2 linked regions of the Danio rerio genome follow. The main gene of each other region encodes a partner of the protein of the gene in region 2 in a complex. Links are inferred from orthologs where the notes say so. Each region holds a gene or a part of one and is shown on either strand. Other genes may lie near its edges.

Region 1 (3,919 bases), on a different chromosome or scaffold from region 2:
ATAAAGGATATTTTCATCTGTGGCAATAAGAATATTTTTAATTGTATAATTATTATATTGTAGTAGTAGTGTTAGTAGTGCAGTAAGTAGTAGTAGTGTTATTATGTCACTGTATATTACATTATTATTGTTTATGATTTATTAATTTTCTTTTTCCAGTGCTGGGCATCCGCTGGGATGTTACATAAACGTCTTCCAAAGAAGCACTAAAGTATTATCCAGGAAAGAGTAACGTTAACGCTAGCTGAGAACTGAGAAACATTTGTCAGCCTTAATACTGACATGTTCAGCTTCAAACTTCATGTTTAAGGACCGAAACATCACGTTTACTCGACAAAATGATGATACACGGTAATGTATTTGCATATTTTAACGATTAAGTTAGCTCAGATAAATCAATGTAATGTATTGTATTTCATGTTGCATTAGCGCTGTCAGTACACTACATGCATCCGCTAAGCTGAAAGCTGGAATATTGTGTTAGCTAACAACACTAATCCCTGTAAACACGCTCACCACAATCTCCGCCGTCCATGTCTTTATCGGGATTTGAAACAGGAGCCATTGATATAAAATGCGGTTGAGTCGAGGTAGAATTTCTCTCTCCTTACAAAGGGCGAAGCCAAAACAACAGATTTCCGCGCCAAAGTGTCTTCCCGGGGAAACTCGAGCAGCGGATATGACGTTCTCACCAGCCGACCAATCTGAACAAGTTGATTCGAACTGTTGTAGACAGACTTTATTCAGTGTATTTTTTAGCACATTCATTTTTTTATATCGGAGACTTGAGTTTTTTGTTATTTTACAATTAAAGATCATTTTGTTTGCGTAACTGAACAGTAATGCAAATACTACTACTACTACTACTACTACTACTACTACTACTACTACTAATAATAATAATAATAATAATAATAATTATAATAATAATAATAATAACAAGTTTGTTTTTGTTTGCATACTGTATGCAGAGGCAATTTCCAGATTTTTTCTGTTAGAATTTTCAAGAATAACATTGGCATCAGTTCAGAAATCATATTATCAGTTCAGTATCACTTGTTCAGTAATAATATAATCCAAACAGATCCAAAAAATCAGTTTTAAAATCATACCAAAAACACAATTTAAGTATTATTAAGGATAATTAATTATTTTTAGATATTTGTAGTGGTCGATGATAAAACAAATACAACCGTGCGTGTGTATAACTGCAACAAAATAAATAAATCAATATTTCTACCACAACTATGGGTTTCACTTATAGGTTTTACTGGCATTTAGAAACCAATCATTTGTCCCAGGTTACACATCCACAGAACCGATATATATCTAAATAAATTTAATATTTTATCAAAACGAACCATTTGCTCCGTATGCTTAACCCACCGGTTCGGTTCGGCTATAAGATTCACGCATCCACAAACTGAATCACTGAGTCAGGTTCGTTTGAATCATGTCTTCGAGCACTTCAGGTAACTTCTGGCATGTGGCCACTTTATTGATTCTGATCACAAAAATGTCGACTCTGGTGGGACTCGAACCCACAACCTTTGAATGACCCCATTCAACAATCTAGAAGTCCAATGCGCTATCCATTGCGCCACAGAGCCGATGGGACGTCCTGTCGGTTTATCGCTACTCCTGCATTCGACCGAACAACTTTCGTCCGAAGTAAGTTAGTTAGTATCATAAACATATACACTTAGGATAAACGTTTTACTAGCTAAAACATGTTTAAAGATTGTTATATTTCTTTAACTCATTTGAAATGTTTATTTTATTTTTTAAGTTAGTTTTTAGTTCTTTTATTTTGAAATACCAGACTTCCGCTTTTAGCGGCACATGTGGGAACCCACGTTGTCTGTCAGTAGAACCAAAATGGCTTCGTGCAGTATTGAAGACGTGCTCGCTAAAGCTGAAAGAGACGAGGCTGAGAAGCTCAAAAGTATTACGGTGCTCAAAGAGTTGGATCTTGAATTCGACCCGGGACTTTTGCTGGCGTTTGACAAGAACCGACTTGACACACGGGACTTTAAAGGCAACAAACGGGAGGACTGTCTTCGCTCTTTAGCGCGAGACAACACACAACTTCTCATCAACGAGATATGGAAACTACCCACAGAGAGAGTCGACGAAGTGATCGTCGCCAAGCTGCCAGAACCGACCACTAAACTACCCAGAGAAAAACCAGCACCGAAACCTAAGCCTCCTACTAAATGGGAACAGTTTGCCAAGCTGAAAGGCATTCAGAAGAAAAAGAAGACCAACTTGGTCTGGGATGAAGTTCACAAGGAGTGGAAGAGGAGATGGGGGTATAAACGTGCCAAAGATGACACCAAAGAGTGGTTGATTGAGGTCCCGGCGACTGCAGATCCAAACGAAGACCAGTTCGCCAAAAGGAATAAAGCCAAAAAGGAAAGAGTGGCCAGAAACGAGTACAACAGACTCAAAAACATCGCCAGAGCTCAGAAGGTCAAGGTTCCTGGAACAGGACTCCTGCCTACATCCCAGCAGACCAAAGCGGAGCTGGCACAAGCGGTCAGTCTGGCCAAAATATCCACCGCATCGGTTGGCAAATTCCAGGAGAAGCTGCCCAAGGAAAAACCAGCCAGAAACACTGGGAAGAAGAGGAAATTCCAGCCTCTTATTGGGGACTTCAGTAGCGAGAAGCAAAAACAGCTGGATTTATTGAAGGTGATGGACAGTAAGAAGCCCCGTCTCGATATCACTAAAGCTGTGAATAAGCAGATGAGGGAAGAGGACTCGGAGTCTGCTCGGAATAATAAGAAAGGGTTTGGAAAGAAGGGACGCAAGGGAGGCATGCCTGGTAAAGGAAAAGGCAAAGGAAAACCTGGAGGAAAGGGAAAAGCTCCTAAAGGCAAAGGGCGCAAACCTCAGATGAAGCAAGGAAAGCGCTAACATTTAAAGCAGTGTGGTGGACTTATGATGTTTATTGTAGAATATAATAAATATTGCACACGACTCAACTTCTCTTAAGTCATGACTTTGAGTGCCTTGCGGCTGGAGTTTGATTCAGTACAGGAATCGGGTTTGTTTATGTGTTTAGGCTTTATCTACATATGTCATGGATTAAGATCATTGAACCGTTTTCATAAATGTCATCTAATATTGACTCCTGTTATTCATTCGTAATTGTGTTTTCACATTAAATTAAAATTCTTTCTGATTTGCCATCAGTTCCTGGTTGGATATTGTGAATAATGAGGTTATATTTCATCCCCAAAGTTATTTAAAAATGAGTATAAATGTGTCAAAGCCTGCTGTTAATGGGTAACATTTGTACTTAAATAGTATGTTCTTATAATGTAATATAAAATATCATCAAATGTGTATTTTAGAATTATAAAGCTAAAATATCACCTTAAAAAATTGAAGCTAAGATTCAATTAATAAAGTATTTGAGCAATTTTAATGAAAAGAATATGATTAGATTTATCTTATACCATCAAATAGAGGAGACATCCCATTTCAGTGTCTACCTAAGTTCACAAATGTGATTTTTAATTACAGCAATCAAATTAAATCTAATTAAATTGTTTAGTGATTTAAATAACTTTTGTGAAATTAAAAATATGAGTTAAAAACGCTGTATTGTCATTTAGTGTTATGTGAAAATGAAACCTACTGTTATTCTGATCTGTGATGTGACAAATATGTATAAAATAATAACTTAAAGCTTTCCCAGAGATGGGTTGCAGCTGGAAGGGCATCCACTGCATAAAACATAAACTGGAAAAGATGGCAGTTCATTCTGCTGTGGCGACCCCGGATTAATAAAGGGACTAAGCCGAAAATAAAATACATAATTTTTAAAGCTTAAATACGTATTGAATTAGAAAAATCTTGCTGTTAATGGGTAAAATCTGCACTTTAATAGAATGTTCATATAATTTAATAT
Region 2 (4,193 bases):
TAACGATGAAATTAATGTGAGAATGTGCGTTGCTGTACCAACTTCATGTCTGGCGTACATGCATTTCTTTTTTTGTGTTTGTTTTATTTTCTATAGGCGACTCCTAGAGGCAATTGTTAAATTGCACACTACAAAGTACCGCACCAACACATGTGAAAAACATTGCTATTAATTTCTAATTGATAAAATAGGTTAATTGAGGTAACTCTTACCAATTATGTGATTTAGAACATATAAATGCATGTGCAAATGTATGCAACCCTTAGTCTATGGCAATGGCGGTGTTGGCCTTTTTAGATGACATTGATAATGGTCAAATCCGAAGGCTCCCAGGTGGCAGGGTGCGCGATGGGTAGTTCTTGGTGAGTTATGTATTTAAAGATATTATTCCAGCTAAATTCATTCATTCATTCATTCATTTTCTTTTCGGCCTAGTCCCTTTATTAATCCGGGGTCACAGCGAGATGAACCGCCAACTTATTCAGCATGTTTTAATGCAGCAAATGCCCTTCCAGTCGTAACCCATCTCTGGGAAACATCCATACACACACACACACACTCATACACTACGGATAATTTAGCCTACCCAATTCACCTGTACTGCATGTCTTTGTACTGTGGGGGAAAACGGAGCACCCGGAGAAAACCCAAGCGAATGCAGGGAGAACATGCAAACTCCACACAGAAACAGCAACTGACCCAGCCGAGGGTTGAACTAGCGACCTTCTTGCTGTGAGGCAACAGCACTACCTACTGCGCCACTGCATCGCCTCCAGCTAAGTTTTTTATTTTATTTCATTTTTATTGAGCATAATTATTTAACTGCATATCAGCAGACCGCGGTTATCCATTAAAGTCGTAGCTGTTAACACTCCTCAACAACCCACAAACTGACCAAGAGTGCAGATACAATGATGCCCATTCTTGCACTCATCAGTTGTAGAGCGGGCAATTAGGCAGCTGAAATGCCGGTGGCACTGCCTTGAGAGCAGAGGAGTGCTGTTTTACCGCCCTAACAAAGTGTCCCTCTAATACATCTGTGTCTCCCACAGACACAGATACTACTCCAGACAGTAAAGTGTCGCCCACAATTTAGGCAACTCTCTCCTCAAAAGGTGTTAGTTCAGCATCCCATGTTCTTTGGGCTGTTCGGTCCACACTTTGACGGTGCACCGTTGTTCTCATCTTAACCTGCACCTTTACATTAGACCAATTCTTTTTTAATTCACTCACAGTGCGATTTTCAGACCCCACTGCGTTAACTGTATCAGCTAAACTATCCCAATTTGTTTTCTTTTGTTATTAATTCCACAGGACAAACTTACAAATAACACAATTTTTCTCCGGTTTACCTCCTAAAGGAGCACCTCCCATTCACTTTCTGTGAAGTTTCTTTTCTTACTTGCTTTTGCCATTGCTTTTTTGTTTGGTTTTGCTAAAGTGTAGTCATTACCATATTCATACGGGGGAGGAGGCTGGGAGGGTTTTTTTGCTCTTGCGCTCAGTTTCATGTTAATTTGGATGTACAAAGAGAATATGCGTGGGATTTCGCGTATGCAGTGTTTCATACATCTGATTTTTTTACTGCGTACGCACATTTACAGCTTTGTCCGTACGCAATGTTTTCGTATTAATTCAACGCAAGTCTTTGCACATGAGGCCCCTGGCTTTTTCTTTTTTGACCCAGTTGCTCAGATGACACGTCAAACAGGTGCTCTTGCCAAATTTACACTAGTTTGTCCATCATTTCATGGTTCAAAATAAACTGGAAATGAGTGCCTTTAACTTCTCCCTCAACCTCCCGCCGGCCTGCACGTACTTAAACTAGTGGATGCTGATCTCTCATTGGCTGTAGGTAATTGCCAATGTTATTTTTAATCAGACCACATTTTACACAACATGATTTGAATTGCAAGCAGTTTGAAACTTCATGCAGACTATATATAAAGAGTTCAGATACAAAAACCTCTTTGTGCCGTCAGAAATTTCTATAGAAAATGAGTACTTTTTTCAGACACCTATGTTTATGTAGAGTTATTTTATTTTAAAGACCTTTAGTGGAGTGTATTTTTTGCCATAAACTTGAAATTACTGAACCTACAGACAGGACCATGATAAAAATGCTTAGAGTTGAAGGACATTTCAAATGGCTTTTAGATGTTTTTGCATCTGAACTCTTCATATGTTAATTAATGGATTATATACAGCCATCTGATTGCTATAGCAGTATAAACCCTGAGCGGATAAATCAGGACCCTCTTGCAAAGGGAAGGAATTATTCATCAGATACAACCAACTGATTATTTTTAATTATTCTGATTCATAAACACATGCATATGACATGAGTAAATAAAATTTAACACAAAATATACATATAATTTTTTTGATAGAATTCAGTAAAAAAGAAGCAGTATAACAATTCTGTTTATACTGAAGTCTAGTAGCTGTTTAAACGTAAAAACTGTAACAAGCCCTCAAAATCCAATTTGTCACCGTTACAGACTACAGTTTGTTATCAAACGGATTTTGGAAATGCACGACATGACTAATGAATCACAATTAAGTATTTTAGACTTAGCGGTGTAATAAATATTTGTGTCATCTTTATGCTAATTATTTCATATTTGAAGTCTAGTCTCTTCTCATGTATTTTTTGTTCTCATCCATATTGGTGAACATGAAATATTTTATGGTGGCTTTTTTTTTCCAAACAAAGGCAATAGCCTTCTGTTATGGATTTGCTTAAGTTTTTCAAACAGATTTAATTTAGCATCAGCAGCTTTGACATGCTTACAGGAAAAAGCAATGATAGTTTTAATCTCAGTAAAATTTGTTTTTACTGTGGTGAAATTACAAAAAAGAATTTCTGAGACATGAATTAAAAGAAATAACCAGGGTATTTTATTCTCATAAAATGGTTTTCTTTCTGTTTTTCACCTTAAAACCTCTAACAACAACCTGCAATGAAATATGTAAGACTTTAAGAATTTAAGAATTTCTCCTGCAGTAGTTAGTCCTACAATCAGCTTATTGTATAACATTATTGCTAGGTTAATTTAGTAAAACTACACTTATTTATTTACAGGAATCTCAGTGCCAGTGGAGGTCCTGAAGTATGTGAGGACATGGTGAGACAGGATGTGCTGACGCCTCTGTCTGCTCTCCTGAGGGAGGTATGAATGCTGAAACAACTCAGTTCAAACTGTTACTTGCATGACAACATAAAATCAACATGAAGTCGTATAGTTCACCCAAAAATAAAAATCTTGTTTACTCACCCTCATGCTGTTCCAAACCCCTGAGATTCTCATTCATGATCAGAACAAAAATGAAGATATTTTAGGTAATATCTGAGAGCTCCATCCTCCTCCATAAATAGCAAAGTTACTGAATTAAGTGTAGAAACAAAAAAAAATATCATATTACAAAGCTACAAGAATAGTTTAGTTTACAACAAAAATAACAAGTTTATTCAACAGTTTCTTCTCCTCAGTGTCAGTATAGGGTGTGCATTCACAAGCACTGTGCGCTGATGTGTTTCTCTGTTACCGGTGCACAACTTCCTCCGTTTGAAACAAAGCACAGGCACATCCGGGGTCATAGGGCAGGTAGGATGGCTGAACTGCTTAGTAACATGTGAAACAGAATGAAAGAATTGTAATAGGATTTTAGATCATAATCTTGATATGATATTTTTGCCATTTCATTAATGTGTAGCTATATTGTAAAAAGCTCTATTTAATAAGTGTGTGTCTGTGTTGTGTGTTTTTGTGGAGAACAGTGCTGTGCAGGCTTTGGCGTGAACTCTCCTTCTAAGAAAGGACAGAAAACCTCAGTGGAAGATGTCGCCAATGAAGCAGTCAATTTACTTTGGAACCTCTGGTAAGAATGAACTTAAACTGAAAGCAAGGACCAAGTCACAAATAGGTGGTCAACACTGATTGATGTTTACACCTCACATGTATATTAACAAAATTAGTTAATATTAGCTTTAACATTTTTTTTTTCATGTATGTGTATTTTGTCACCACCTGTGATATGACAGCATATCATCATGCTTTATTTATTGGCTGTATTTTGCAAGGTGAAAATGACACTTATAGTTAGTTTGATCAATTGCCACATTTAAAAAGTACCAATTCATGTTATCTGTGTTTCTGTCTTTTTTTGTTTGTTTGGTTGTGTAGTGAGAG

What was found. Proteins that work in one complex are often made in the same cells at the same time.
Region 1: heatr3 (region 2) and rrs1 share a complex: the UniProt entries of both Homo sapiens proteins name them as parts of the hexameric 5S RNP precursor complex. The link is inferred for Danio rerio from reciprocal best matches to the Homo sapiens genes HEATR3 and RRS1.

Annotation. Positions count from the first base shown.
Region 1 is NC_133199.1:27,758,115-27,762,033, reverse strand, and holds rrs1 (ribosome biogenesis regulatory protein homolog), read left to right. Parts: upstream 1-1,869; 5' UTR 1,870-1,878; coding exon 1,879-2,919; 3' UTR 2,920-3,197; downstream 3,198-3,919. Other genes in the region: pola1 (DNA polymerase alpha catalytic subunit), read right to left, coding at 517-565. UniProt on the Homo sapiens protein: Involved in ribosomal large subunit assembly. May regulate the localization of the 5S RNP/5S ribonucleoprotein particle to the nucleolus.
Region 2 is NC_133182.1:38,126,737-38,130,929, reverse strand, and holds part of heatr3 (HEAT repeat-containing protein 3), read left to right. Parts: intron 1-3,085; coding exon 3,086-3,173; intron 3,174-3,781; coding exon 3,782-3,882; intron 3,883-4,187; coding exon 4,188-4,193. UniProt on the Homo sapiens protein: Plays a role in ribosome biogenesis and in nuclear import of the 60S ribosomal protein L5/large ribosomal subunit protein uL18 (RPL5). Required for proper erythrocyte maturation.